5 linked regions of the Oryzias latipes genome follow. The main gene of each other region encodes a partner of the protein of the gene in region 5 in a complex. Links are inferred from orthologs where the notes say so. Each region holds a gene or a part of one and is shown on either strand. Other genes may lie near its edges. The genes, in order: fbxl5, fbxl17, ccnf, fbxo10 and skp1.

Region 1 (4,881 bases), on a different chromosome or scaffold from region 5:
CCTCCAGACTCATCGGGTTAAGTTGATGCCAAACAGCTGATCACAGCACCTTGTCCCAATCCCTCTCTACTCTAAAACCATGAAGGTGTTCATTGGTAAACATGTGGTGGGTCTGCACATGTGCCTTCTTAAGCAGGGCTACTTTGCCAGCACTGGAAGATGTTAAACCATGGTGGTTTCATGTGGTTTCCATGGTGACTATGGTTCCAGCTGCTTTGAGATCATCAACTAATTCCTGCCGTGTTGTTTTAGGCCGTTCCTTACTGTTGTCATAACTGTGGAAACCCCCCCAGGTGAGACTGTGTCTGGAGCCTCAAACCTACAGGTGGATTGATGGTCATGTTCTTGTGTTTTGGCACAATTACACAAACGGATGTCACCTTAACCTCCAGCTTCATGCCAATGGTTTTGTAGTCCATTCTGGTCTGCTTAAAATCAACTGAAAGCTCTTTAATCTTTCCCATGTTGGAGAGTTTGGAGTCTGACTGATTCTATGGACAGGTGTCTTTTCTACAGGTGATTATTTCAAACAGGTGCCTTCAATTCAGGTGACAGGTTGATCAGGATAGTCTAACTGGTCTGTGTGAACCAGAACTCTTAATGGTTACTAGGGGATCAAATACCCATTTCCTTTACTGAATCTATAAGCAGCTTCATCAAGAACTAAACATCAACAACAAGCATGACTTTGTGTCAGGGTGAAGATGAGCTGCTAGCAGCTTCGCTTGTGTTACCGTTAATGTTGTCGCAGTAATAGAAGTGCTCATCATTGAGGGATGGGCAGGCTGAGACCAGCTCCTGCAGCCCCACCTCAGTGATGGAGAGACAACCAGACAAGTTGAGATGCTCCATGACGGGAAGCCCTCCATGCTGGGACAAAGTCCTGAAACACAGATGGAGGGGGAGGTGAGTGGTGCTACTCCAGACTTAGCCTTATCAGGACGCTGTTTCCCATAGCAACTGCTATGGAGAGTATAACGGCTCTCATTGGTCAATGAGGCCATTGATTTCTGATAACTGATCCCTCATTGGGGATTAAATCTTTGCATAATAATGCTGGTTTCTCCACCTTAGTTAACACCTCAGGTGTTGAAATAGAAGCGTTTTTTACTGTGTTAGTGAGTCTTTGTGTAAAGAAATAGAGGATAACTACCTCAAGCCCAGGTCGGTGATTTGGTAACATCCAGAGAGACTGAGAAATTTCAGCGCCCGTTTAGCGGGTGAGCAGTCAGTCCTGTTTTCAGGCTGCAGACACTGCAGTCCTCCCAGTGGAGGGCATTTAGTCCGAGATCCTGCAGTGGCGTTCCTGCCGCAGCCCGACACGCTTTCGCGCACTGTAAACGTCCTGAGGGCGATGTCACCTGAGCAGCAGGTGGAGTGACCGCAGAATATTTCCCCCGACATGGCGTACTGCTGATGCAAATATGAGGCGTCCGACCCCATCCGGTGGCCTTGCCTTCTGCTCGTCCTGCAACAGCAAGAGCCGCCCATCAGCTGCGTCTCTACGAAGCTTTCAGGGAGGGGCATCCCGCCCCGCCGGCTCCACGCTGCAGCGTCCTCAATATCGGCCAGGTCGGAGGTCTCCACAACCCACACCGGCGTTGGGATGCAGGGCCCCCCCCAGCGCCGAGTCCCGTACTTGAAAACGATGGCCTGCTTCTTTCGCTCCAACGCGTGCAGGTTTCGCTCATCGATGTGCGCGGTGAAACTTTTCAACTGTGAGGTTTTGTCAGAGCAGGAGGAGGAGGAGGAGGGGAGTTCCCCTAACCCGGTAGACAGCTTCTTCAGGGTGAGATCGGTGATCTTCTCGCATCCCGACAAATCCAGGTGCTCCAGAGAACGACAAGCTCCCAGGAATGACCAGCTGGAGAAAAATGAGAACAAAGCTCAGTGTTCTGAGTTCCACGCAGACACAGATCCACATACATGTACGGTATATTTCTAATATCTATCTAATGACATAGTATTGTGAACTATTAGTACATATCGTTGAAAATTCAAAAACTACATCTTCATGAAGAGATAGCTTTGTTGTGTGTAATATTATTTGTGTAGTAATACATAATAATACGGGAACCACGGAGCCGGCAGCAGCTGCAGGGGCAGGACAGCCTAGTCAGACGGTCTCGCTCGCCATCGAAGAGGCACGCGGGGCGACCCGGGCCTCAACTAACACTCCTGTGGGCGAGAGTGGTCCTCTGCCGGGGACTTGACGCGCCGTGGGGCAGAAACAATGTTCTCAGTGTATTTAAACACACGTGTGGAGTGATGCATGTATCAGAGGGTGTTCTATTGGCCTTTCTGCATGTCAATCAAGTCATATACTTCTTGGAGAGGATTTTGATTCGCTAATTTAATTATATACATTTAAATTTGGGGGATTTTTTTATCTATGATGGCGCGTGATCTACCCACATGTCCTTTATCGCAATCGATGTAATGATGACCCCTGAAGAAGTGGTCCGACTGACTGTGATGTCATCCGTAGAAAATGATTTATTTCCAGCTCCAACCAAATGAAGTCAATTCTGTCGCCATTCAATCCACAGAACCAGATTCTAATTTAAAGGAAGTATTTTGTACCTGTCAAACACAGAGTCTGTCACATCAGTTTGAGTCAGATCCAGATGAGTGATGTTGGGGCAGAGGCTGACCATCTGACGGACCTGGAAAAGACATTTAAGCTTTCAGGCTCAGCTTAACATCCATCAAATCTCATGGCAGCAATGCAACTCTGACTGGACAAGCGCCGCATACCATTTTGCTTGAGACTGTTGAACTGTAGGCCAGAATAATGGATTTGACTGACGGACCCACAGCAGGGAGGAGGTTCTGGATGATCCCATTCAGGAGCTTCTTCTCTCTCTGCACCATATTGATAGCAAGCGAGCCCTCTGTGTGACCCGAAACATCTGACGAGAAGAACACTATCTAGTCACTACCTCATGAACACAATAAACTACCACACACTGCAGGTCCATCCACCTTCAACATTGGAACTTTTTTTTCCCCACTCAAACCCGGGGAAAAAACAATAGTCATGATGAAACTATTCACAGCACACACACATGACCCTGGTAACGTTCAGCTCATGCATGTTTGAAGTGATTATTGGCCCTCACCTGACTCGTCAATATCAGCGTCCTCGTCCCACTTCTGATAAGCTCGACCCTCATTCTCTCGACTCCTCACCCACTCTTCATCTGGCTCCTGATCCAGATCCCCAGGAGGGCCATTATAATGATCGCCTGTGTTTTAAAAAAAACTTTAGAAACAAGGATGCCTAAGCATCTACAAGATCATCTTTACCAGGAAAAACAACTACTTGGTTCAAAAAGAAAAGATGAAAACCATGAATTGAGGTTTACCTCGGGCCCAGCGAACAGGGTAAAGGTGCCTCCACAAAGAGCCGGTCTTGGCCAGCTGCCACCACAAACTGCACACCTGACTGCAGCGACACAGATCCTTAGGGCCCAAATAATGGAACAACCTCAGCATTATTTCTGCAGGAAGGTGTGAGATGTTGGTTGACATATTCTGCTTCTTCTCCAGGTCTGAGGATGGAGGGGGGAAAAAAAGAAGAGCATGTGAATGTTTTAAATACCACAATGATAAAATTATCTCAAAATAATCCATGTTCTGTACAAATATTGTTGGTATTTTACAGCAAAAAAAAAAAGGCTTCAAGTATCCTGCTAATTGTGTTTCCTATCACAGACGAACACAACTCCATCCATTCATTCATTTTCTATGTCTGCTTAATCCTGTCATAGGTCACAGGGATGCTGGAGCCTGTCCAGCTATGGTTGGGCTCCACTCTGGACAGTTTATCAGTTCATTAGAGGGCTGAACACAACTAACCCCAAATAAAGCCTTAACTAGTCTCATATTTTGGTAACGGGTCATAATATCTATCTGTTGCTGTTCATTTAAAAAAAAAACTGTTTCTCTGCTGGATTACATAAAAAGCCTTTTTAAAACATGACTGAAGATAAGACAAAAAAAGAAGTGTGTGGCCTTCAACAGACGCTTGACTCATCTTTGTCATGCACTTAACTGGAAACCTGTAACAAGTTTAGTCATTTGGACAAACACTCACCGTAGTCTGTCTTCTCATGATCCGAATATTTAAAGGCTTTCTGCAGCTCCTCAGCCTGCGACCACAGACGGAATCCCTTCAGCACACCGGCAGCACAGTCCCCGTGCTGTTGGCTGTGGTGCTGGGCTATCACCTTTTTCTTGATGTCTTTCAGCTCCTCGTAGGTGAAGTACTCCATGAGCATCGGCTGAAACACCTGCAACACATTTCCGTTAAAACACAGCTTGACGCTGAAAAGGATGAACAGGTGACATTTTTGATTATTGCTTATCCCGCATGATTATCTTGTACCTCCTCCTCTTCCTTCATGTGGGGCAGGAAGTCCTGCGTGAACGCCTCAAGTCTCTCCTTCAGCTGACGAGCATAGTTAAGCTGCTCACATTCATTCTAAAACCACAGAACAGACAGAAATCCCAGATCTTAGATCAGCTGCTCTTGGACAGTCATAAGCAGACGTTTACCACGCTTTAGGTATTTTGCATGATTCTAAAAGTTGCGCAAGGAAAATTTAACTTCTTTGTTTTCCTCGTCTGAGCTGGCTTCCGGCTCACGACTGTACAGCCGGTCAGCTCCAATATTGTAAAGAAAAAACCTGCATAACTATAGTTAAAAGACCACCGGGAACACTTTCAAAATAGACCAAGGATAATCGGGCTGGGTCTCTAATAGAATTTGAACTGTTAGTTTATAACCATCCTAGAGCCCTCAGGTGCAGGTCTGCTGGTGATCCCCAGGGTCAGAACAAAAAGCCATGGCAAGCCCACATTTTCAGCACTGTGGGC
Region 2 (6,179 bases), on a different chromosome or scaffold from region 5:
AAGACAGCGTTCCTTCACTGTCAGGTGGGACAACACCTGTGGTGGGAGGAAGAGGAGGAGGCATTTCTGATTAACAACTAATGCTCGTTTGACAAAACAGTTTATAACAGGGAAAATCCTTGTTAATTTCATTGCGCATTTATCATAAAACACAAAAAATATCATTGTATTGACATAGTTAGTTGACATAGTTGAAGTCCCACTCTGATCATCTTTTGATCTATTTTTAAAGTATTCCCACTTTATTGACGCTATCCAGCCGTAGAGTTTAGAGCCAGATTAGGAAAACAATGACAGATATGGATCTATTTGTCTGCAAGTGGATGCATCAGAATGGAGCGGAGGAGGGAGCTTGTGGACCGCCAGTTGTATTTGATGTCACAAAGAAGTTCTCTTTCAAACTGCATTTTTTCGTCTTCTCCTGATTCACAACTATTTGAGTAAAGAAATACTCAACAATGCAATTTGAGCTACATTTTCTTTACATATGCCTTCCATTATCAGATAAAGGCCACAAGAACATGCTAAAAAAAACACGTTTTAATCGGACTGGGTCTTTAAGTAAATGGGAACAAAAAATGATGAACTAAAGCCCTTCTGACCTTGAGAAGGATGGAGGAAGGCAGGTGGTTGATACTTAAGTGATCAACAGCATCAGAACTTCTCGCCTGAGAGTCGTCATAGTGATTCAGGCAGCAGGGGGAGGAGTCTGAGCTGTGGGGCGAGTCCATTTGAAGGCCCAGCCCGCAGCAGCCATCAGCAGGCAAGGAGGCGGATGCAGAGGAAGAGGAGGACGAGGAGGGAACTGGGCATAGTGGAAGGTGGCAGTGGCCAGTTTCAGAGTTGGAGCCAGCCTCTTCTCCTCCCGTTCCGTCGTGCTCCAGCCCTCCGTCAGGAGCGGCAAAGGCACAGCGCGGCTGCTTGCAAGGGGTGCACCTGTGCACCTCGGAGCACTTCCTCTTACACACCTGCAGGCAGAAACACACAATCATGTAAAGGTGTGCTTTTCAACCAAAACACACCAGGCTCACATTCAGCTGATTATCTTATTTATTCACTGATGAAAATGTCTTCCACTTCTGACCATCTAAAGTTATATCTAACCAGCCTTCTTTCAAGCCCAAACACAAACCTCTCTTTTAAATAAATGATCAAAATATGAATATTTACTCCTCCAAGAGTAACCAGCTGAAGGCACCATGAAGCAAAACAATTTGACCCATCACCACAGATTCCTGCTGCACCTTTTCAATGTGAGGTTAGTGCCTACCATCTCAGTGTAGTCGACGGTGCAGTTGGGTATAGGCACAGGAACGGGCACAGTCACAGACACACCAGCCGTTCGGAAAAGAGCCGGCGCTGGAATCAGTTTGGCAGGAACGGCGGATAAAATGCCCCTCCCCTGGCCCTCCCAGATCCCCAGCTCCCTTGGGGACAACAGGTACTTGGAGCACTCCTCAGGTGAGGCGATTGTTGCGTATCGCTCGGCGAGTTTTGAGGCAGCTGCTGGTCCGAGGCCGACGCCCCCAATGTGCGCGACACTGATTCCGGTGATTGTGTTGTGGCAACACCCGTTCACGCCGGCCTCCAGATGGTCACCGTCGTCGTCCAGACCACTGCTATTGCTGTGGACGAGGAAACAGAGCATGCACGGGCCCTGCAGGAAACAGTTCCTCTTCTTCTTCTTCTTGTGCTGCAACTTGCGGGTCCTCTTCTTCAGGCGTAAACCATTTTTCGAGAAAAGATGGCCCATATAGAAGATTCAAGGTAACTCTTGGAGAAAGAAAAAGAAACAGAAGGGAATCTTACATTTGAATAACATTTATGAGAGAAAAAAAAAAGAGTTAATTAAGTACTAAAAGTGTTTAATCATTCCTCTTGAATCTTTAGACAAAAACTTTTCAGGGTTACTTCAAAAATATTGACATTGGCAATAAAAAAAGCAAAGTTAAGTTAACATTTATGTCAGCAGAGGATTTCATGTTTAACTTGAGAAAGAGGTTGACAGTAACCTGGAAATAAATGACAAGCCAACTGATTGACCCAGAAGAACTCTGCATTCAGGCTAAAATATAGGCTTGGTTAATTGGTCCAGTCATGTGACAGAACTGAGTAGTAAATCATTCCATTCACAATTACAGGTTGTGTATAACTATCACAGAAAAATGGAATTAAACATTATACAACTTTTTAGAGCTTATTAGAGGCCACGTAGAAAGTTTGGTTTTACTGGGAATCTTCCACGAATGAATGTGGAAAACATCAAATAAAAGAAACTCTGGAAATAAGATCTTTTCCAAATGAAATTCCTTTTATAAACAATTTTTTTTATTTTAACATAAAATGAATGTTTTTTTTAATCAGTTTTTAAAAATTGGACTGTGGTTGTACAAAGCCTGAAGAACACCAATTAAAAAGGCTGTGAAACAAACAGCACTCCCTTACCTCTGAAACATTGCTTCTCTCCATCTATTCACCACAGCCCATAATAACATGACTGCTTTGGCCAATTTTATAAGAGTATATTTTATTGCTGCTTTGATGTTTGTTTTCAACTATGTCACTATTTTATTTAAAGCGACCTTGAGTTTCAAGAAAGACAATTTATTATTATTATTATTATTATTATTATTATTATTATTATTATTATTATTACTGTGTATTAAAGCTAAATATTGCATACAATGTTTGATTACACACAAGATTAAGGTTTCCATAAATAAACGGCTTTTTTCCTGTAAACTGCTAAGTTCTTCCAATGAACAAAAATGAAAAGGGAAATCCTTAATTGACTTATCAATCAGGTTTTTCTCAACTTTTGACATTGACTGCAACTTTTGTGAGTCAAAGTTAATGTGATAGAAATTGGCCATCGGTTTTAATGCCTAAACTGCTCGTCCTCCTTGTCGAATCTGTAAACAACGAGAGCTCCATCCATGCATCTGCTGCTCTCGACTGCTGCAAACACAAAGATGTAGACACTGAACAGGTGGTCGGGTTTTACCACACACAAACAAAGCAGCCAAACGCTTATCCCACACTTTGCAAAATGATAAATATCCGCTCACAGTTTCAAACTCCTTTGGAGACAACAGCTAGGAGCCCTCTGAGAGGCTAACCTGCTCCTCCATCATCAGACAGATGCTAAGCTAGCTGTTCTCCTCCAACATGGAGCAGCTCTCACCACTTGACACGCTGCTCCCTCCGTCCGGACGCTCTTCACATAATACTGCGCGGGTTGACGGTAGCGGTGAGCGCTGACACGGAGAAAGGCGGCCGCAAACACACAACCGCCGAAGCGTCTGTTCAGACTCCAGCAGCTTGGCTCTGCTGCACTTGAGCACAACACTTCCGCAGCGAAGGGGGGCAGAGCTACAGAAGCCGGCGAGGACAATTTCGACAGCAAACTTGCTTAATAACAGGTAGAAGAATCCCAGACGACTGATGATCAGATGATTAAGAGGGTGACATTTTTCCATCACCTGTAGATTTGTATTTATTACTCGTTTAATCCTGGGAGTAATTTTATTGTTTCAAGAAAAATATCACGCAGAGAGTATGCAAATTGGACTTTGAATACACAAAGTAAATATAAAATGTGAGAGACCGGGATTTAATCGGATACAATAAAAATTTCATAGGATGCAAAAAATCATCCTGAAGATACCAAAAAGGAACCAACCAAATAAAGATGTATTTTTGTTGTATTACTCCTGTCCAGCTGCTTCTGTGTTGGACAGTTAACAATCTGGTTCATGCATGTTGTTTACATGGAAGGTGCACGTCAATATAAACCTCTTTTATATTCGAAGAAATGTCTTTTGTTTTAGGCTCTAGACCTTAAGAAAAAGAATTTGATGCTAAACGATGGTGAAGAATATGTATAGAGAGAAATCGTTGGAGAAATAAAAGAACAGAAAAACATTTACCTGGAGAAAGAAATGAGAGAAGTAAATAGAAAAATGACACACAACCAAAGATGAGCAAGGATTAACAAATGTCAGTTATACAAAATTGTGCTTTTGTTATCCACACACAACATACATATCCACTCTAAATTGTGCCAGATGAAAAAAGCATTTTTACACAAAAAAATATGAAGAAAAAAGACAAACAAAATGGTGATACAGAAAGAGAAACATAAAAACACCTTCTTCAAACTCAACAAACTATAACAAGTGGGAAAAAAAACATTTCATATTTAAAAATAGAAACAAAACCTTCATGCAAAAATCTATAACTAAAGTATACATAAAACACGCATTGCCCTCAACCCCCCACCAACTCCCATTGTGAAACATTAAATAGCTTAAATAAGAACAGGAATAGAAATGTGGTTTAATGAAGGCATTACAGGGCTGCACGGTGGTGCAGTGGTTAGCGCTCTTGCCTCACAGCAAGAAGGCCCCCAGTTTTAGTCCTGGCTGTGGGACCTGAAACACAACACCAATGGGGACCTTTCTGTGCTTCATAGGTTAACTGGTTACTCTAAATTGTCCATAGGTGTCATTGTTTGTGTGTATGGGTGTGTGATCTGTGACCCTGCGACAGACTGCCAACCTGTCCAGGATGTCCCCTGCCTTTGCCCAAAAGTGGCCAGAAACGAATAACATCTGTTGATTTCCTGATCTCTGTTGTTTTTCTAAAATGAAATTGTTGTATTTTGTGTGTCATACACTTTTTGCTCTACTTGTAAAAAACACGTTTTTTTATGATGTATTACTTTACAAGTGTTATACTGTGAAAGCATTCTGTTAAAGTCCTGCAAGACATCATTTGTACCCCAGTTTCCCCAGGATTTGTGTGTTCAGAGAAACTAAACAACACATATTTTCAAACACATTTCTGCAATTTAAAACAAAAATACAAAGCTTGTATAATTGTATGTAGGAAAATGAAAAAAAATCAATCATTTGGGTATCTATTTTGAATCTTAGTTTAATTAAATAATAGCTTTACTGTAGACTTCTTTTAACCTAATAATAATGAATATTTATAGTTCATCATACAGTCTGAGAAAACCTTTCTTTGTTACATTTGGTTAAATGTATGCCAACTAAACTAATGTAAAAAAGCAAAAACAAATAAAATAAATAAATGATAAACAGTTACCATATGCATTTTAATATTGGTGAACAAAAATAAATTTCTGTTAACAAGTTGAACAAGAGATAAGATCATTTTATTTAAAAGGTTTACAACACAAAGGAGATTTTAAACAGTGTTAACAGAATGATAATCAATCGCTTCTGTGCACTAAAAGCGCATATTTTTCAGTGCGTCTGTGTGCGCGTGCACGCAGAGTTATGGGCGGAAACGTGCAGTCTGGCTGCAGCTTTTCCAGCCTGAACGGCAACTCACAGAATAACACGCAGTGTCGGGAAGCAAGAAGGAAAAAAATGGCTGCAACTGTTCCACCAGTAACCCGACAAATAACCAAAGACAGCCACAGGAAAAAAACTGAAAACCCGCCTGTAGATCTGCAAGAGGCGCAAGACTGCTTGATCTACGACCGACACGGAGTCTCCATTCCGTTCAAGTCCTTATATCAAGACAGGAAAGTTATCATCGTTTTTGTTCGGGTAGGAAAAAACTGTTGCTGTTCTTTCTTATTTTGTGAAAAACTCTTTCAGGCAGGCTGGACATGAATTAGATTAGAAAACCTAACGATGCTCAGAACTTCTTATCCAGGACTGGAGAAAAAAAAAACCTTATTGAAACCTTGGAGTCCTGCTTTTTTAATGTCATGTATTCCTGCAGAACTTCTTATGCTACAGCTGCAAGGAGTATGTAGAAGATTTAAGTAAAATACCCCAAAAAGCCCTGGAGGTGAGTCCCAGAGCTGCCATTTTTAAACCACTTTACGATCCTTAAATAAATATATTCAAAGGTATTACTACATTGTTGATGTCTTTCTAGGATGCTGCAGTCAAATTGGTTGTGATTGGTCAGTCCTCCCATCACCACATAGAGGTAAAGTTGTATTATCATGCAAACATTTTATGAAGTGTTTATTTAAACAACGCATTAATCCACATTATATTGTCGGAATAAAACAAAAAAAAATGTTTTTTGAAACAAACTTATTGTCAGAAACGTGTCAGTAACATTGACTGTATAAGAGACCTGGATTGAGTGGTCCCTCCCCCCTGGCGTTCCAAACAGGAAGTTCGCACTGG
Region 3 (6,058 bases), on a different chromosome or scaffold from region 5:
GTTTTACAGGCTGCAAACGGAGGTAAATCTGCTTATGTCAGTGGAAGTTTCTTTCACATTTTTAGTATGAAAAAATAACTTTTTGTTATATGCTGACGGCAGCTGAGGAACCAAGGTGGGTGTGGAGGGAACCATGTTTAGATCTTGCTACAGGGTGGAGGGGGCTAACAGGGACAAAGTGCAGATGGGTGGAAGTGGTCATTTGGATTGCAAGGGTCAGCACAGATCACAGGAAACCAGATGGGAGCAACTCATCCGCCTCTTTATCTCCAGGGTTTGGCTTCAGACCCAAGCATTCAGCACAATTTTGGCCCACATGCAGCTGAATTTTACAAAGCTGACAAAGGTTCAGAAACATGCAGCATACGCCGCAACATGACTTGATCAAATCTGGCCATGAGCCACTGGTGGCCTGATGGTTTTATTAACCATCGATTCAAATCAACAGCATCTGTGTAAAAGATGAATGTGTCTGTTTTTGATTAGTCACTGCCTCCAGCAGCTGTCTAATGCTACCTTGGTGATGAGATAGGGGATTGTTTTTGGGATAGCTGCTTTTGGAGACAGGTATAGACTGAAACTGCACAAGGCTGACCAGACATTCAAATGCAATTAGATGTTAAATTTTATTAAAATGAGTCTTTCTGTAGTTATAGTAATGCAAACAAATGTGGGGAAAAGCAAGTGAATGGAATGGTATCTGAACATGAAAAAACACAACTTCAAATTATGCATCAGTCATTTCAATTTCCAATATGCTGTTTATTTTGTCCTTAGTCTATTCGTTTTAGGAGAACAAAACCATAAAGAAATAAAAAGTCTAATTTCCAGATGTGCTACGACATGTTTTTTTGGAACAATTTTACAACTGGATGCTTTTGATGGAGAAAATCAAAATGTCATTTTTAAGACCCCATTATGCTGCCTATTTGTTATCATTTACTTTGTGGGGTTTTTTTTACCTGAAAGTGGCTGCGATGGGTTGGAGTTTCTATGGAAACAGTGCATCCAGTTGAAGATGTCACAGCCCTTGCCCTGACTGAGGTCACTCAAGATAATTTGATTTTGCTGCATCTCCAGTGTTAAATAGAGCAAAGAATATTTCCCATAGTGAGTTAAGAGGAAATACACTTTCTTTATTGTGCAAGTCAAGATAAAAATGGGAAATAAATAATATTGCCGTGGAACCTTTTTTGACACTTCCAAAAGCCTTTGCCCTCTTAAATGTAATTACTGAGTAGTAGCTTTGTTTGTAGCGATGAGATTAGGTGAACAGGTGATGAACCGATCAATAGAAGGCTTGAAAGCAACAAAGGACTGACTGTGCACTCTGGTCCTTTATAACCTCCTTCCAAAAACTAGCAATCAAGAGGACACTATTCAGCTAACAGAGAAGTTTATTTATCGTCAATAGAGACGCAACAAAAAGGTCTTAATCATGTAGTTTTCTCCGAGGCAGCTGCAATAGAGGCCAAACCAATCTGTTGCTTTCATTCATTCATTTGTGTTGTCGGTCACATGGTTACTGAGATGTGAAGTGATGTGTTTTTGTGTGGGTTGGAGGGGGGGGACTCGTTTTTGTTATCTCGTTAGGACTTTTGCTGGTATAAACAGAAACCTTGTCAGGGTTAGAAACCCTTTTGGGTATGAAAGATTGGTCCAAATGAGGCAGGATGTAATTGCTGGATTCCTGGGTATGGGGGCAAAGGTGTACATGGAGGTTAAACTATGGTAAACTAGAACCTTAGGGGAGGAGGGGCAAAATCCAATAAAGCCAGGATATTATATAAAGATTTGTGTAAATCCATGTTTTGCTCTCAAAACTGCAGAAAAATAATATATCCTTACATTTTTTTCAAGAACTGCTAATTATATCAGGAAATTTAAATTTGCATTTAGAGTAAAGAGAAAACAACAACGCTTGTAAATTTAAATCAAAAGTTAAGAAGTTAAAGGTTTGCACAATACCAAAACATAAAAATAAATAAATAAAACTAACAAAGAAAAATGTACATTTGTTGTTTTTTATCTTATTTACTTAACAGTGAGCTTTTGGTTCAAACTTATTCTCCACAGTTTGAGTACCAATAACGTAGTTGGAGCTGTTTTTTTTTTTTTTAAGTTCTTCTATTATACCACTGTGGGGAGGGTTAATTTGTAGCTGTCCCTTTAAAAGCGGTACCTTTAAATTGTCTATTTTATGTGACTACATATCCCATGGTTCACTTCAAAATGGTCGCTCTGTGGACAGCTTCATATTCAGGTCATCCAATTATTTGTGCTTTTGGGCGAGCGCGTACTTCGAAAAGGCATTACGTTATCCAATAGAATTCTCTACTTTTCCAGTTTATACCGTATGGCCAACCACAGCCTTCGCTCTGCGGGATGACCAATCGGAAAGTCTTGATGCAACGGATGGGCGTCACCACTTTTCACCAATCAGATTAAACAATGAGTTTAAACCATGGGCGCGGGCGGTCCTAGACCGCTTTCGGGGCGGGGCCAAATGTGGACACGCTTGGATTTGAATTCAGGCAGGAGCTAACAATTTATAGGATGTTAGCTGGTGATAGAAAGACAGCAGATATCGTATCATTCTTAATTTAGTTTTCTGACAAAAGCAGCAAATAATTTTGCTTGTTTTAGGTGGTGTCGTCACTCATTATACGCACTTGTTCCGTGTTGTATCTCCATACATCGGTCTTGAGCCACTTGCAATGAAAGCGGGCGGTAAGTAGATTTTAAAAACTTTCTTCCTACTAATATTTATATCTTCCGTGAAACAATAGTTAAATATTTTGCCTTTTATGAATGTAAATATATAGTCTGTCTTTATTTGTAAGTATTCAGAGAGTGCAGTGAAATTTAGCAACTAAGTAAGCGATGTACTAACAAAACTTGTTCTATTTAAGTTAATACAAACCTAAAATCAAAAATAAAGTCCATAACCTTTAAATTAATCTAGCTTGTTTGTTGTAGTAGTATTTAAATATATATAACTATAAACTAGATTTAAAAATAAAGAACTCAAGCTTCAATCGGAATACGGGAGGGAAATTTGGGCGCTCATCTGATTCGATTTCTTCAACTCAGAAACTTACTTCAAACTATTTTTCTGCGATTATTCAGGTGCAATGTATATTTAACACAACATTTTTTTAAATGAATCCTTATAAAATGGTTGGTGTTTGTTTAAATCTTTATCATATTTATTCAAATATGCAGAGAAGGCCACACGAGGGTGTCAAACGTTTGTCATCTTCATGATGGAGGGAGTTGAGAATTTACTGTCATTTATCTTGAAGGGTCTTCATATTTTCAACTTTTTATCCTTAATTTTCATCTATTTACAAAAATATGACCAAAATAGTGTTTAACTGTATTTTATGAAACTTTATGCTAAGTGAAAAAGTTATTGCTGTAGAGACGAGGCTTGCTGTAGAATCTTATTTCTTTCTTTTTTACATTTTTTTTTAAAATAGGATTTGATTATTCTTGATTATTTTTTTATTTTATTTATGACCATCTTGACCAAATAACACAAGAGGAGGCAACTGCCTCTAAAATGCCTTTATAATGATGTGCAAATATTGATTTTCGCACAGATGTGAGAATGAGTTTTTCGCATTACCCTGTGAAGTGCTTTTGTACACTTGAATGAAATTCTGTACATTTCTGCGTGCATTAAAGATGCTGCTCTAGAGATGCATCCACAAATCCATGTATTGATGACTTTTTCCTCCCTTCCTCTGTCTACAGTTGTCCACTGCCGTTGTTCAAAATGTTACTCGGTTCCAGTGCGGAAGCGGGTTCGTAAACGCTCGTCGTCCCTAACGCTGCTGTCTCTGCCTGAGGAGATTCTTCTCTGTGTGCTTCAGTGTCTGTCTGCAGAAGACCTCCTCTCTGTTAGAGCAGTAAGTAATGATGTATGCATTTGAATTGTGCAGTTTGTTCTTTAACATATGTGCTGCATTTTGTCAAATCTCAAGTGACTGTTCTTTGCGCATCTTGTGACTAAAAACTATAAAGTTTCTTTTTGTTCCTGCTTTTGTTAATCTTATTTTGTTTTGGTTGTAGGTTCATTCCCAGCTGCGGGATATTGTAGACAACCACTCCAGTGTGTGGGCCAGGGTCAGTTTCAGAGACCGATGGCCATCCCCCAACACCTTATGGCTATTTGAAAAGTATGGTTCCCTCTTACAAAAAAAGAAAGAAATTCACTGTTCTGACTGCTTGTCATTTATCGAGTTTTTAACTGCAATTTTTTTTTTCTCAATCTAGAGCTGCAGAAAAAGGGAATTTCGAGGCTGCTGTGAAACTTGGGATTGCTTATTTATACAATGAAGGGCGTAAGTGCACTAAAGGCTACATTTCCTGAGCAGTATGTATTTTAATCAAAGACAAAATGCTCTCGTTCTCAAGAGCAATAACACAACATAACATCAAAAACACCTAAAGACAGCTTTACACTATCAAGGGGTCTTCAATCGCATCCTCAAGGCATCATTATACATTGCTTGCAGCCTCTGCATCCTCAACAACTTTTAATTACCCACAAGTGGGCAGTATATGAAGTATGCATTAGGAGAAAAAAATATAAAACTTGCCTTTGTGTGCGTCTTCCAGCACTATCTACCTCAGAACGGTATATTTAAGATGCTCGACTGGCGTCTAACAGGAATATTTCAAAAACACATGGTTAAAAAAAGTCAGAAATTTTTTTTTTATAGCTTAAGACACTTATGAGTTTGTCTTGATATGAACCTTTTCTACTGTCTTCCCTTTTGTTCTTCAGCGTTGCTGAGTGATGAAGGGCGAGCGGACGTCTGCGGTCAAAAGGCCTCCCACTTCTTTAGCCTGGCGGAAAGCGTGCGCTCCCCCAAAGCCGACCCATTCACTTGGGTTTTCATCCGTCCGCCGTGGTCACCCACCGGCAGCTGCTGCAAGGCCGTGGTGTTCGATCACCTCAAGGCCGAGTGCGATACTAACATGGTAGGTGCTGCTGCTGCTGTTGTTGCTGCTGCTGTGGCTCCATCGAGTCCATCCTGAGGAGCCCTGTATCTGTGTTTCTTTAATCTTTAGCTTTGTCTTCTATATTTGACAGACAACAATATGCTTAGAAAAAATCAGTCTAAGGTCAGTGGAGGGTAGAATCTGGGTTTTAGGTGCTTATTATCAGCAGATTACATTTTAGCAGAAAAATGATGGCCTTGATGGTCTATTTTCTGCTCCTGGAAAACACTGACACTAGTTCCTGCTGAAACTATTACTAGCATATCGATTTTAATGCGTTTACACACACCAAAGTACTTTTATCGATCTATTTTTGGTGGAGATTTTTCATTCTTTCCATGTGTTCCATTATTGATTCTTGTGCTTCCTCTGCAGGAGAAGAAGGGTCCCTTGTTGCACTGTTTGGCCAGAGTTCTGCTGCTGTTTGAGGTGAGTAAAAAAGCTGGGTTAAATCTGGTTGTTTAGGGCGTTGTTGGTTCAGTTTCTGTCTGCATGTCATGAATATGTGTGCTGTTTGTCATGGGGGACTGTGTTGGGTTAGTTGTTAGGAGCCCACACAGATAAAATCATTGTTTTTGTCTGTTCTATGTAACTGATTCTTATTCACAGAATCACTGTTTGTCTGTGTTTACGAGCATGTTTTTCCCAATCAATTTTTAAGCACAATGTTTTAGGCGATTTTCATAACGTTTGAGGGATTTTCATCTTCTTTTTTTTAGGATGATGGGAGAAGATCAGAGGCCATATCGATGCTGGAGGAGTCGTCACAGGCTGGCTGTCTACAAAGCTCATACCTGCTGTGGCTGCACAGTCGTAAAGATGCTGTAAGCTCAAATGGATCCCTCTGTAAATCCTAATACTGAAACCGGGCCTTTGCATATCTGTCAAAACTGGTTAAGTCCCCTCAAACCACTTCTGGAAGGAGTGGATTTTACCAGATCACTGTTAACAAAAGGACAATCCAGCTTTATCTCACAAAATGGAAATAGCAGTAAAAATAGGCGGGAATCAAACATTTGGAGTCAAAAGACATTTTTAATTGAGA
Region 4 (6,059 bases), on a different chromosome or scaffold from region 5:
CTGGTAGCTTACAGCCCTTCACATCCCCAACCTAACATTACCAGTGCAACAGAAAAGGCGAGGAAAATTGGAGCTATCCAGCTGAACAGTTTTGAGCCAGATGCCAGCTCAGACGAGGAAAGGGAAGACGTACATGGATCTAGATCAGGGGTCACCAACCCTGTTCCTCGTGCGCTACCGCAACAGGGTTGGTGAACCCTGATCTAGAGGTTTACAAGTCGATGCATCAGAATACTGTAGAGCAGAGCAGGGAGGTTGTTGCTGGCCCAGCGTAATTTCTACTCCACAAATACAGTTTTTCAAACGGCATTTTTTTCATCTGCTCCTGATTCACAAGGATTTGAATAAATACAAACTCAGAAATGTAATTTTGAGCTGAATTTTCCTATTATATGTCCTCCATCATCAGAAAAATGCCACAAGAACATGTTAAAAACACCAAAAACATTATTTTCATCGGAGTTGGTCTTTAAGAAAAGGACTTTGATAACCCTCTCATCCAAATTCAAATCCCAAAACTGGTTTAAACACAATTCAAATATAAATCCAGCTGCAATTGTAAATGCCTGTAAATTTACCAGAATGATTGGGTTGGCTCCTTTTCGAATATCCAACCCTGCCTCCCCGTTGGAGTGGATGTTATTTTCTGCAATCAGGCCCTGAGCAGACAAGCGGAGAAACACTCCTGACGCACAGCACTCGCACACCTCATTTCTCAGCATTACGATCTGAAGGAGGGAAGAAAAACAGCTCAGGTAACAAAAAAGCTGCTGAATTAATCATGAAGTGAAACACTTCCTTGACATGTGTTAACAGCATCGACTACAATTACCGTGGCGTTCTGGATGCAGCGGACAGCATAATTCAGCCCCCGAAAGACATTTTCTTCCAGTCGACCTTGTCCATAATTCGACAAATGCACACCGCCCTTTCCGTCCCTGAAGAGGCAGCGTCTGACAATGCAGCCAAGGATTGATGCAGCCATTATCTGCGCCTCTTGATCCCTCTCTAACTCTTCTTGAAGGGTGAGGGGTTCTGGGGTAACAGGTGGAGGTGAAGGAGACGAGGCGGCTGGCAGAGTGCCATCTTCCAGAGGCTTTAACAAGTGAGCAAGACCGTGATGGTCATATGGGATTTTGTAATCCAGTGTAAACATTTTTTTGGCAGTGTTGGCTCCCCTGCCATCTTTTTTCTCATCATCTCCTTCGCTGCAATCGCCATCACTCCAGCCGTCTTCGATAACAGTTCCATGACACCCCGCATCTCCACCCATCCTTGTTTTCCATTCCTCTGTGCTCACGGGCTCCTTCTTTGCATTGCCTCCTGCAGGGTTACCGCCAGTGGAGCTGGCCCGAGGGGCTTTAGGAGAGCTAATAAACCCAGATGGGAACGTCCTGGCCAGGGCAGCCAAGTGTTTACAAGCCCAATTCCTCTCAGACACTGGGGGACCTTCCACGGTCACTGAAGCCGTGTCACTTCCTGAGAAGTCACAGCTGTCTAATAAACTGAGAGAGACACTGAATAAGTGGAGAGAGCTGCCTTGAGAGAAGGAGCAGAAACGCGCCTGGCAGGTTCCAGGGCCACGAATTTGCAACTGAGCACCCTCAAAGTTGCAATTATCCATCTGGACATGACCCCATGATGTCTGAGGGAGAAAAGAAAAGAGAATAGGTCAGGAGTCTGCAACCTGAAACTCCACAGCCACATGAGGCTCTTTAATCCCTCCGTTGTGGCTCTACAGTTAAAGAAAAAAACGTTTTTAATTTAACAAAGTAACTGCAAAAGTAAATTAACTCAAACTTTATTTAACAGATTTTAAAAAATTGAAGGGAAGTACGTATCACAAGTTGAACTAAAACATTTTGACTGATTTTTGTCATGTGCCACAGAATATCAATTGAAGGTTAGTGAGCACAACCTCAAGTAAGCCGCATCAGATCACGAAAAATATGTTTTATCTTTGAACAAATTCAAGGATCTTAAGTGTGTCTTATGGTTAAAAAAACAGTAACTAGCTCTGATTCAATTTTATTTTGTTAGATTTACCTACTTCTAGCTGAGATGCAATACAAAGAGTAAAATAAAAATCTTTTTTTGTTTTTTTAATCACTGCTGACATTTCACTACAGTACTACTACTGCAGTGAAATAAACTTATGTGACACAGGGTGTCTTTTTTTGAAAGGAAGTCACGTAAATCTCTGTCAAAAGTTATAAACTGTTCAATGCTTTGAAAATTGTATTTGTCTTTATGTGTGGGTTTTATTTATGCCAAAAAAAAAAAACAACAGTTTATTATCAGTTATCATAATAGTAACACTAAAATGAATACAAATTGTTTTTTCTAGAAGGTTAAATAAGACTTTGGGGTCTGTAAGACATCGATCTGAGTGGCTCTTTAAGTGTTGATGGTTGCAAACCTCTGGTTTATTAGTGCTGGATTTTTCTTTCTTTCTAGCAAAGTAAGACCTGTTTTTTTTCTTTTTTTTCTTCTGGTGATACATTTGCATGTACTGCATAAAAACAATGCAAAAACAAGCTGGTCCCTCACCCTGTAGACAACAGTGGAGAACCATGGTGGCATAAACACCAGGTTGCACAGTCTGGCAGTGGGGCACTGCTGCTCAATGCACACCAGGAGGGCCACCTCACCTAGCCGCCCCAGGCCAACCAGCTCCACGGGCACCTTCAGCGCCACCTCAGCCTGCTCCTCGTAGACCCCTGGATGAAGAACAACCCGGTCATAGGGTCCCGTCACCCCAAGAGCCCCACGCAGGCTCTCAAATTCACAACCGGGTCCGACGTGCCAGACCTTACGGTCTTTGCGTCGCCGGAAAAAGTGAAGACAGGCAGAGGACTGGAGCTCTGGCACATTTCGAGTCCAGGTTCGGCTGGCCAGGGCGTGCTGCTTCAGGGCTTCTCTCCACGAGGCGGGCTCCAGGTGAGGCTGGCTGGGCCAGTTGGGATGCCGACACTCGGAGCAGCCGAGGCAGAGTTGTCTCCAGCGGGTGCTGTCCAGGGAGAGGATGAGCTCCCGCCAAGCCCTGCACACCTGGCAGCAGCGGCCCAGGTCAGGGAGGGGGAGATAGGCCAAGATAACCCGCCACAACTCCATGGGGAGGCTCCCCACCTCCATGGCAGCAGAGCCGCCGGCTGGGGAAGCACCGTGACGGCACCTGGATGGAAACAAGCAGCAACAACACTTCGTCACAACTATAATTCATTGCGTTTACTGTAGAAATAATAACGGGTTCCATATTATTATTTAGCGATTTCGCGTTTCACGTGAACTTTGCAGCGGTCACCACCTGTTTGCTAGCAGGAGAGGACTAATTATTTCGAATCTTAAGCATCATGAAATATGGAAACACTACCTTTCAGTCGCTACTCCGACACATTAATGCATGTCGGCTCGATGTTTATAGCGGTTTCTCTCAGCGTTACATGTCTGCGGCGGAGCTGCGACCGTCCAAGCGAACCAGTTTACGGCAAACAGAGATGCCCATCTTCCGCTTCCCCAAAAAGTGGGCGTGTACAAAATCCTCCCACTGGTTTTCTTGGATGAACACCAGTCAGCTCATCATGACTCACTGTAAGAAGATGCTTGTTTTGCCCTTTAAGCATCAGTTTTTTTATTTTTAAAATTAATTTCGATCCTTGTTACCACAAGTTTTCAGGGTTCAGATTACAAAAACGAACTTTATTGATTTCTGAACAGCTACAATCATATAGCATAAAGACCCACTCCAATAAAAATCATGTTTGTTGGTGTTTTAAACATGTTCTTGTTGCATTTTCTCATGAATGAGATATGTAAAAAAAAAATTAGATTGAAACTGCATTTCTTAGTACTTCACTCAAATTGTTGTGAATCAGCAGCTGACAAAAAAAAATGAAGTTGGAAATAGCTAATAGATGTAACGTAGCACCTACTGCGGCAAGCCGCAAGCTCCATTGTGAAGTTTATCAATTTATGTCTTTATTGCCCACGTCTAAGATGGAATCTGGCTGAGAACTGTACGGCTGGATAGGTCCAATACTGTTCGCCATTTCATTGCAAGGTCGGGGTTGTGAGAGGCTATAAGCTAGCGGGAGAGCATGTAAACAGATGGATGACAGAAAGTGAGGGCAGGCTTACTCTACTCCAAATCAGAGGTAAATTACAAATGAACCGCTGCAGCTCTGAAGGAACTGTCCTACAAAATGACACAGTTTAGTTTTTTTTAGATTTTGACTAAAAAACGCATAATCATAATTAAAGAGCCCCTGGAATGCTTTTACAATAGACTAAAAGATGATCTGAGTCTGACTTAAAGCAAGAGCTAGAATAAATCTGTTTTTCTTGACCCTTTAGCAATAAGTGGTAATTATTAAAGTTTTATTTATTTATGGTAAATTATAATTTATTTTATTTATTTCTTTTAATTGTTTTAGTTATGCGTTGCCTTCTAGAGCCCCATTTTAATTAATATTTACTTTTACATTTTTTTTAATGTTTATGTGCTCTTTTTTATTTTTGTTTATCTGCACAGCATTCCTTATAGTGTTAAATTGCTTTAAAACAAATATGGATTAGATTAGTGAGACATATAGTAAAGAGAATAACTATTTCATAAATGTACTTTTTAAAAGTTTTATCTTTCCAACTTTAGTTGAGTATCTCAAAATTTAATGATAATAATAAAAAACATAGATAAACTAGATTTCCCTGTCAGACAGACAGATGTTTATACTTATGGATATATTGTTAAGGATCAGAAAAGACTGATCTGGCCATTCCAATATGTGAGGTGATTTTGTTGTTTGTGACACATTGTGGAAAACTAAACTAAACTAAACTAATATGGAAAACATTAAAAAAATGTAATGGAATACAAAGAAGGCTTTGGCGCATGGCAAAGCCTTCAAGAAAACTACAAGACATAATTAACAAAGTGAATATTTTTCCAGAGGCATTTATAAAAAATACTTATGTACTGGTGGAATTTTATAAATGTCCTTCTGAAAATGGCAGAAATGGCCAATGAGCTTTATCCACAAGAACGTTAATACTTAAAATGTTTTTGGCTTTCAACATATATCTAACTTGACTGTGCTGTGAGGCGGGAAGCATTTCACTTCAGTGATGCAAAGAAAATTAGCTTAATATCTGTGTAGTTTGAAGGAAATTACACAGTGTCATTTTTAAATGCTCCGGTGGAGCCACATAGGTGGATAACTCTGATGATTTACATTTACATTACACTTATTTATACTTTGACCAACAGATGGCGATGTCCCTCTGCAGCCAGTTCGACTAAACTGCTTTTATGAAACATAGTGCAAAATCTGAAGTAAAACGTTAGTTTTCAAAATTGCATTTTGTGCTTTTCAGTTAATTCATCTGTCTTTATAAAAAGGGGAAATAACACACTAAACATTCCCACTTCTGCAAAACTCGTCATGCAAAAGTGGGAAAGTGAAGGATTCTGTTGGACATGCTAAGCTTCTTAAAAGTAAAACCACCTTTCAATTTCATATCCCTGCAGGTTCAGACCCGCAAAAGGACCCGAGTGAAAGAGCAATGAATGAGGACTCAAATGGTTCACATGCAAAAGTTAGCAGTTAATAAAAGGGTTGACAGATCACTTTGCAGAACAATATGCTGTTTGAAGAAAAAAATGTTTTGTAGTTTTATTGTATGAAGTGAAAATAAAAATTAAAAAGCTCATACTTAGATTATATGAAGAAATAACCTAAACAGATGCAAAGATATAACCATGACTAAATAAAACTTGTTTTGGAAGGGAGAAAAAAGTGAGAGGAGGATAAGGATAAGAGATTTATTACCATTTGTACATGTAAAACAGGTACATTGGAATTTTTTTCAGCTGCTCTCAAGTCAGGGTGAATTAAAGACAAAAAATTTATAAACAAAACATTTTTAAGTCATTTAGATATTTATGTCCTTCTTTGTGATCAAAACAAAAGCATCAGCCTATTCCTGCTAACTTTATCTGGTATCTTCTTGTGAAAAAACAATTATGACTTTATGTCACTTCTCTTCACCCATACTGTTTT
Region 5 (5,448 bases):
CATGCATTTCTAGCATCAGAGCATGTCAGTGTGTGTAGTTTTGTGCAGGTGGCCGTTTGTTGGTGTGATCATTGACCTCACTGCACTGTGACTGAGGCCCGCTGACGTTTCCATCCACACTTTATTCACAGATAACTCTCTCTGACTGTTCTCAGGAGGAAAAAGAAGTGCATTCGCTACCTTCAAGGAGGAGGCTGCCCCAGCCCATCTTCTTCAGATATAAGTGCTATAGACTCTCCCCCCTCCCCTTCCCCCGCCCGCCATCGCCTCTACCAGCACCCCCCCTCTCCGGGCTACTCGCCGCCGCCCTCCTCCCCGTCGACACGCCTCCCCTTGCCTTCGCACGCCCGCTCGCACTCGCGCCTCCCCGCGGAGCCCTCCGCTGACAAACGCATTGACCCCCGCCCACCTGCAGCCAAACTCGCCCACACGCTCCTGGAACTGTCCAAGCAGACGCACTGCTCAAGGGCGCTGTCGGCCGCCAAGGTGGCGGGACTCTCCCTCAAAGTGTTGACAGAGACTCAGTGACCACCGCCCGCCGGGATCGCTCGCCTCCTCACCTGCTCCTCACATTTGTCAGTATTACATCATCGTCATCATCATCATCTCTGCTGGATCCAGAGGACTTCCTCGTTAGCTGCTCCATCCTTAACTCTCCTCCTCATCTTCATCACTAGATGCACTTGTGACAAAACAGTAATTCTTTGAACAGAAGTCCCATCTTTGGGTGTATTTTGGTAAAGTGGGGGCGTTGGTAGAGAGAGACACGCTTGAACCAGCTTCTCCACATCTGCATGGAGTTTAAACCTTCAGGTCCTGCTTCCACTGAAGCTAAAGTAGAACTGCACCACTCTAGCCTCTAAAGTCCATTTTTTAGAGTCAGATCAACCCACACAAATTTAAGTTTTTATCAACAAAAAGACAGAAAAGATTTGTTTCTATTGAAAGCAAACTAAAGTTTACTTCCAATTATAAAAACTGGCTCCCCCCCCCCCCCGGAAGTATTTCCATTATCTGCTCAGAGCAAACCATTACATCATGAGAGCGGAGCACTGACCATTACAACCTCAGATTACAAAAGGGAAGGATTGGTTCTTCTGTTTGCCTTTTTACGGAGACCCTTCTTTTCTGGATTTTGTTGTAACCAGCTGTGCGACTAACTGTATTTGTCATTCAAGCATTTAATGCAGTTAATAAGACAATTCCAAGTAACTTTTTTCAAGGCACTTCAGGCTCTCAAGCTTCAGGTTCAACTGTAACTTTTACTTCCATCTTTCTTAAATTCCCTTTTATTTTTGTGTGTATAATTTTAATGTTATTTTTTAAAATTAAATTTCCCATTGACTAATCAACAGCTCCAAAAACAAATCTGAGACCAAATGGGTGATATTGTATTGCATTCTGTTGTAAAGTCTTACATTGTAATTACACTTTTTGTATGTTTTTAAGAAAAAAAAGGAAATGACCAAAAAAAAAATGAGCTCAGTTTAAAACCTTTTTATTTTAAAGCAGTGTTTTTTGTCAAATAGTGAAGAACTGTTTTGGGGTCAGATGTTACAGCAGCAGTCAAACTATGTATTGTGTTTAATCTGCATGTTTGAACCTTCAAAGGCTTTAAGAGAATGATTTTGGATTCTTCCGCCAGCAGATGGCGCTCTTGTGCTAAAACTGCTTCATTTCAGGACATTTGAGAAAACCATGTTTGAGTTTTTTAATGTTTTTTTTTTAACCCTGTTGTATTGCTAGTATTTTTTTGTTGGATGTAATAAAATATAAATATCTCTTTTGACTGAAACCCTAAATCCCGTCAGAGATCGTTTGTTTGGCAGCATCAAGACACAAAACACACATTTGGTGGATAGGTTTGGTTTATTAAACCAGCATCAGCTCATCTCAGAAGGTTTCCAATTCCACACATGACTCAGGAAGGAGTCGCCGGACGCTGTAAAGCCGTCTCCACTTCACACAGCTTCCTTTAATGAGGCTTCACAAAACGGTACATTTACAGAGCAAAGAAACCAACATTCACCCATGACTTCTCATTTTCAAAAAAAGTTGTTTTATTTCTTTCAGCTAACCTAAAATACAACTAGCATGTCCAGTAAAAAAAAAAAAAAAAGTAATTTTTAATAGGAGTACAAATTGCTGACTGTTTTCTGTCAGTGCTCAATGTGAGTTTGTGAAAATGCAAAAGAGCCTTTTAACTTTAATTTACCAACACCACACAGGCAAATTAAAATGGTCATGCAGTAATAGGAGAATAGAAATAAAAGGAAGCGGGGTTTAAGGTGTAGGGAGGGGGGTGTGGCTCTAAATATACTAAATATTAACAAATATGAACATGGCCAGTGCAACCAGTTAGCAGGGACAATCCTTTTGGATGTGGTAGTGTTGAGGAAAACCCTGTTACTTCTCTTCACACCACTGGTTCTCTTTGCGTACCTGTGGACAGAGGGGAACGGTGAGCTTTCAACGCTTTGTTCAGCCCTGAGCTACACTCCCGTGCAACACATTCACATCAAATATTTCGTGCAATACTTTTTTTTTCAGTCCAACAAGAAGAGAAAAAAAAGATGGAATCAGTACCTGGGCTTCCTCCTCCTCTGTGAAATCATTTTTGATGTTGAAAGTCTTCCTGATCTCCTCTGGGGTTTTGCCTTTAATCATGTTGGCCACCGTCTTGCAGGTGACATCTAACAGACCTTTGATGTCCAAATAGTTGGCAGCCTAAACAGAAAGTAAATAAACCAAATGAAACCTTTAAGAGATGAAAAGGGCACAGTCGGCAGGAACTGGCAGACTGACTTGACCTAAAGCAGGAAAAAAGTTTAGGATGAAAACTAGACCACAGACACAAACAAACAACTTTGACTTTATGCTTCATGGGGACATTTGGCATGAGAACCAAGATGGAGGATTTTTCTTTAGAACTTTGTTGCACGCTCTCGTACGGGGTTGACCTGTACGGGGGTTGGAGGGTATCGGGTTGTCCGGGCCGTGGAGGGTCCTAGAGAGGAGTGGCCGCACCCTGAAGGGAACACAGGTGTGTCTTGTAGTTCCCTTTAGCCTGGCTGGGGTCGGGAACCCATGGCTCACGAGCCACGTCGGGGTGGGGGGTGGGGGGCAGTAGTATTGGTGCTCGAAGAAAAAAAAATCTGCTCCACTATCAGTTTCCTATTATCTGTTATATCACAGAGTTGGTACCAGCCTGAAACCTATGCACTGCCTTAAACTCACCACGCATCAACCAGACAAGACCATCAGCAAAACCACCATGCAGCACCAGAAGTCACATTAATGCTATGAAATCATCATTTATTAGCAACAGCATAATGTAGCGTCCCTTTCCCACACTGAGGCACAGAGACTTAATCTCTTTTAAGGTTCTTTATTCTGGTTACTGTAGGCCGTAACCAATGGCGTACAACTTATCCAGCAACTCCTGAATCTCTCCCACCGACAGAACTCCAACTTTTTATTCCCTCCTCCCTCACCAGCCCTCCCATTTCCATTATTGGGCCCACAGCTGAACCCCATTGGTCAGAACTCCCCAACGACAGGCTGAGCGACAGAACTGAGGGCCAACCAGCATCTCTGCTTGATGCGTTCAATGAACTCTGGAACTTAGAACGCAACCCAACAGCCACCCAGTCTAACTCAGTCCTCTACAATTACAATGTTATTGAAAAGAATCCACAGACTAATTGTAGTTTAGTTTTAAACATATTGAATGGCTCTCACAAAATGACATTTAAAAATATGTGGCGTTCATGGCTCTCTCGGCCAAAAAGGTTCCCGACCCCTGCCTTATGGGATGTCATGAATGGAATGTACCACTGTCATGTATCAGGAGGTTTTTGTAAGGATAGTGTAAAATGCCCACACTTCAAGTGGGTGAAGCAGTAACACAGTGCCCTTACACCACAGTCTAGTCGTTAGTAAGGCGCAAGTACTGACCCGTTAGCAACCTCAGGCTGAAGCCGCATGTGTTCAGGTGTACACACAAACTATGCAGTGGTCGTCTAATTTCCTACATTCTCACAGTCAGGCTGCACTGTAAGGAGTGAGCATTTATCACTTGAACATTACTGACATCTTGCGCAGAGATCAGGGTTAGGAGGGGCTGGAAAAATCTGTATGACACGCCTGCACCCCACTTCATCCATATGCATTTTTAAGCCTTCGCTACAATTTTTCACCCGCAGGATGTCTACTAAAAAAGAAAAAAAAATGGGCATGAACATTTTCACCCAGTGGTCTAAGACCTTAAAATTTCTTGCGGGCCACCTCCCTATTATTTTGCCCACAGACAGCCTAAACCCACCCATAAGGACAGTTGTCAGTAAAGCGTTACTCTCAAGTTAAGAAAAATACTTTTACTAAATCTTTTAGAAATTACACTCCAAAAAAGAAGAAGATTTTCTTTCCCCCTTTTGTAAAACAGAAGACTTTGTTTTTAATCAATACCATGGGGCTGATTTAAACAGCCCCATCTGCCCCAAGAGTTGCTCTCTGTCCTGAGCAGTGCTCACCTCAAAACCCAAAACTCAGATGGTTCTTTCAACTTCAATCCAACATTTGAGTTAAATGTAGCAACCATTTCTGCTTGTAAACAAAATAAGCGTGTGTGTGTGTGTGTGGGGGGGGGGGGGTTTCTGGAGTCACTCGTGTCTCACTTCCTGGAATGACTGGATCTTCCAGTAACCGTTTCCCAATCTCTCCTGGGTTCTGCTCGGGTTACCTCTCACATCACGTCACATGGCTGGTTTGTGAGAACCACTACCGGCTCTCTGACCGCTGACGACCCAACGGCATTAAAAAAACATCTTCCAGCTGTTGCCTGGCAACAAATGTTTAAATCATTTGTTACCCAAACAAAAGAGTCAGTTATAAAAAAACTATTACAAATAACCTTAAAAAATAAATCTAACAAAAAAGAAAGTCAACTGCAAAACTGAGAAAACTTCTATAAATATAAGTGGCTGTGTTGATAAAATACTTCACTTTTGGTTTGATTTACTATTTTTAATGTTAACCATTTCAGTGATGCAGCCTCACAATTTACTGAGAAGACCAAGAAGACAGCAAAAACAAAACCATCCTTGCTGCTTAACAGTGCTGGAAGGTATAGCTAGACTTTGGTCTTAGACATAATGATCCCTGGTGTCTGCCATCACTAGTAGTAGTCTTATTTAAAACACTAAGGTTTGGTACCCAGGTGTATTTAAATGTATTACCAAAAAACAGAAGTATTTTTCCATTCTGTTATTCTGACACTTTTGTCACACATGGAAGGAAAACACTTTTCTCCTTTAATCATGTAAGTCCCAGAACTCTTTCATCCAGCAAGTGCAGCAGTCAACAAGTGCTAACAGGGCATTTTAGTGGTACTTTTTGTTTAACGATTAGACCAAACAGAATTTATCATTTTAACTAGGCGTGTTTTTA

Evidence for each region.
Region 1: the proteins of skp1 (region 5) and fbxl5 are in contact, whole or in part, in a cryo-EM structure (PDB 6VCD), measured with the Homo sapiens proteins. The link is inferred for Oryzias latipes from reciprocal best matches to the Homo sapiens genes SKP1 and FBXL5. Residues at the interface, in NP_733779.1 of Homo sapiens: Phe101, Ile104, Leu105, Asn108, Leu116, Asp117, Cys120, Lys121, Val123, Ala124, Ile127, Lys128, Gly129, Lys130, Pro132, Ile135, Arg136, Phe139, Ile141, Asp144, Phe145, Glu149, Val153, Arg154, Glu156, Asn157, Gln158, Trp159, Cys160; in NP_036293.1 of Homo sapiens: Ile205, His207, Leu208, Pro209, Val212, Ser215, Ile216, Tyr219, Leu220, Gln223, Glu224, Cys226, Arg227, Cys228, Ser229, Gln230, Val231, Ser232, Met233, Trp235, Ser236, Lys240, Trp245, Arg315, Leu316, Gly319, Leu320, Asn323, Val324, Tyr327.
Region 2: the proteins of skp1 (region 5) and fbxl17 are in contact, whole or in part, in a crystal structure (PDB 6W66), measured with the Homo sapiens proteins. The link is inferred for Oryzias latipes from reciprocal best matches to the Homo sapiens genes SKP1 and FBXL17. Residues at the interface, in NP_733779.1 of Homo sapiens: Lys78, Glu79, Lys80, Arg81, Gln97, Gly98, Phe101, Ile104, Leu105, Asn108, Leu116, Asp117, Cys120, Lys121, Val123, Ala124, Ile127, Lys128, Gly129, Lys130, Thr131, Pro132, Ile135, Arg136, Phe139, Asn140, Ile141, Lys142, Asn143, Asp144; in NP_001156787.2 of Homo sapiens: Pro319, Asp320, Ile321, Asn322, Leu324, Pro325, Ile328, Lys331, Ile332, Phe333, Ser334, Asn335, Leu336, Leu338, Asp339, Glu340, Cys342, Leu343, Ser344, Ser346, Leu347, Val348, Cys349, Lys350, Trp352, Arg353, Gln364, Arg370, Gln371, Val373.
Region 3: the proteins of skp1 (region 5) and ccnf are in contact, whole or in part, in a cryo-EM structure (PDB 9CB3), measured with the Homo sapiens proteins. The link is inferred for Oryzias latipes from reciprocal best matches to the Homo sapiens genes SKP1 and CCNF. Residues at the interface, in NP_733779.1 of Homo sapiens: Arg81, Asp83, Gly98, Phe101, Ile104, Leu105, Asn108, Leu116, Asp117, Cys120, Lys121, Val123, Ala124, Ile127, Lys128, Pro132, Arg136, Phe139, Ile141, Asp144, Phe145, Val153, Asn157, Trp159, Cys160; in NP_001752.2 of Homo sapiens: Leu30, Thr31, Ile32, Leu35, Val39, His42, Ile43, Trp46, Leu47, Glu50, Asp51, Leu53, Ala54, Val55, Ala57, Val58, His59, Ser60, Gly86, Asn87, Ser300, Val301.
Region 4: skp1 (region 5) and fbxo10 share a complex: the UniProt entries of both Homo sapiens proteins name them as parts of the SCF(FBXO10) complex. The link is inferred for Oryzias latipes from reciprocal best matches to the Homo sapiens genes SKP1 and FBXO10.

Annotation. Positions count from the first base shown.
Region 1 is NC_019862.2:28,342,870-28,347,750, reverse strand, and holds part of fbxl5 (F-box/LRR-repeat protein 5), read right to left. Parts: intron 4,487-4,881; coding exon 4,391-4,486; intron 4,296-4,390; coding exon 4,100-4,295; intron 3,555-4,099; coding exon 3,369-3,554; intron 3,249-3,368; coding exon 3,123-3,248; intron 2,913-3,122; coding exon 2,758-2,912; intron 2,667-2,757; coding exon 2,584-2,666; intron 1,865-2,583; coding exon 1,154-1,864; intron 884-1,153; coding exon 735-883; intron 1-734.
Region 2 is NC_019867.2:7,788,286-7,794,464, reverse strand, and holds the start of fbxl17 (F-box/LRR-repeat protein 17), read right to left. Parts: upstream 3,382-6,179; 5' UTR 3,185-3,381; intron 3,178-3,184; exon of another isoform or gene 3,069-3,177; intron 1,774-3,068; 5' UTR 1,754-1,773; coding exon 1,271-1,753; intron 969-1,270; coding exon 603-968; intron 37-602; coding exon 1-36. Other genes in the region: thioredoxin-like protein AAED1, read left to right, coding at 5,400-5,582, 5,761-5,829, 5,920-5,973. UniProt on the Homo sapiens protein: Substrate-recognition component of the SCF(FBXL17) E3 ubiquitin ligase complex, a key component of a quality control pathway required to ensure functional dimerization of BTB domain-containing proteins (dimerization quality control, DQC).
Region 3 is NC_019866.2:11,076,684-11,082,741, reverse strand, and holds the start of ccnf (cyclin-F), read left to right. Parts: upstream 1-2,325; 5' UTR 2,326-2,717; coding exon 2,718-2,730; intron 2,731-3,759; coding exon 3,760-3,914; intron 3,915-4,077; coding exon 4,078-4,184; intron 4,185-4,281; coding exon 4,282-4,349; intron 4,350-4,795; coding exon 4,796-4,992; intron 4,993-5,388; coding exon 5,389-5,442; intron 5,443-5,732; coding exon 5,733-5,837; intron 5,838-6,058. UniProt on the Homo sapiens protein: Substrate recognition component of a SCF (SKP1-CUL1-F-box protein) E3 ubiquitin-protein ligase complex which mediates the ubiquitination and subsequent proteasomal degradation of target proteins.
Region 4 is NC_019859.2:12,621,035-12,627,093, reverse strand, and holds the start of fbxo10 (F-box only protein 10), read right to left. Parts: upstream 3,507-6,059; 5' UTR 3,374-3,506; intron 3,176-3,373; 5' UTR 3,136-3,175; coding exon 2,551-3,135; intron 1,646-2,550; coding exon 833-1,645; intron 729-832; coding exon 579-728; intron 1-578. UniProt on the Homo sapiens protein: Substrate-recognition component of the SCF (SKP1-CUL1-F-box protein)-type E3 ubiquitin ligase complex. Mediates the ubiquitination and degradation of BCL2, an antiapoptotic protein, thereby playing a role in apoptosis by controlling the stability of BCL2.
Region 5 is NC_019872.2:4,054,156-4,059,603, reverse strand, and holds the end of skp1 (S-phase kinase-associated protein 1), read right to left. Parts: intron 2,728-5,448; coding exon 2,587-2,727; intron 2,443-2,586; coding exon 2,407-2,442; 3' UTR 1,855-2,406; downstream 1-1,854. Other genes in the region: tcf7 (transcription factor 7), read left to right, coding at 156-528. UniProt on the Homo sapiens protein: Essential component of the SCF (SKP1-CUL1-F-box protein) ubiquitin ligase complex, which mediates the ubiquitination of proteins involved in cell cycle progression, signal transduction and transcription.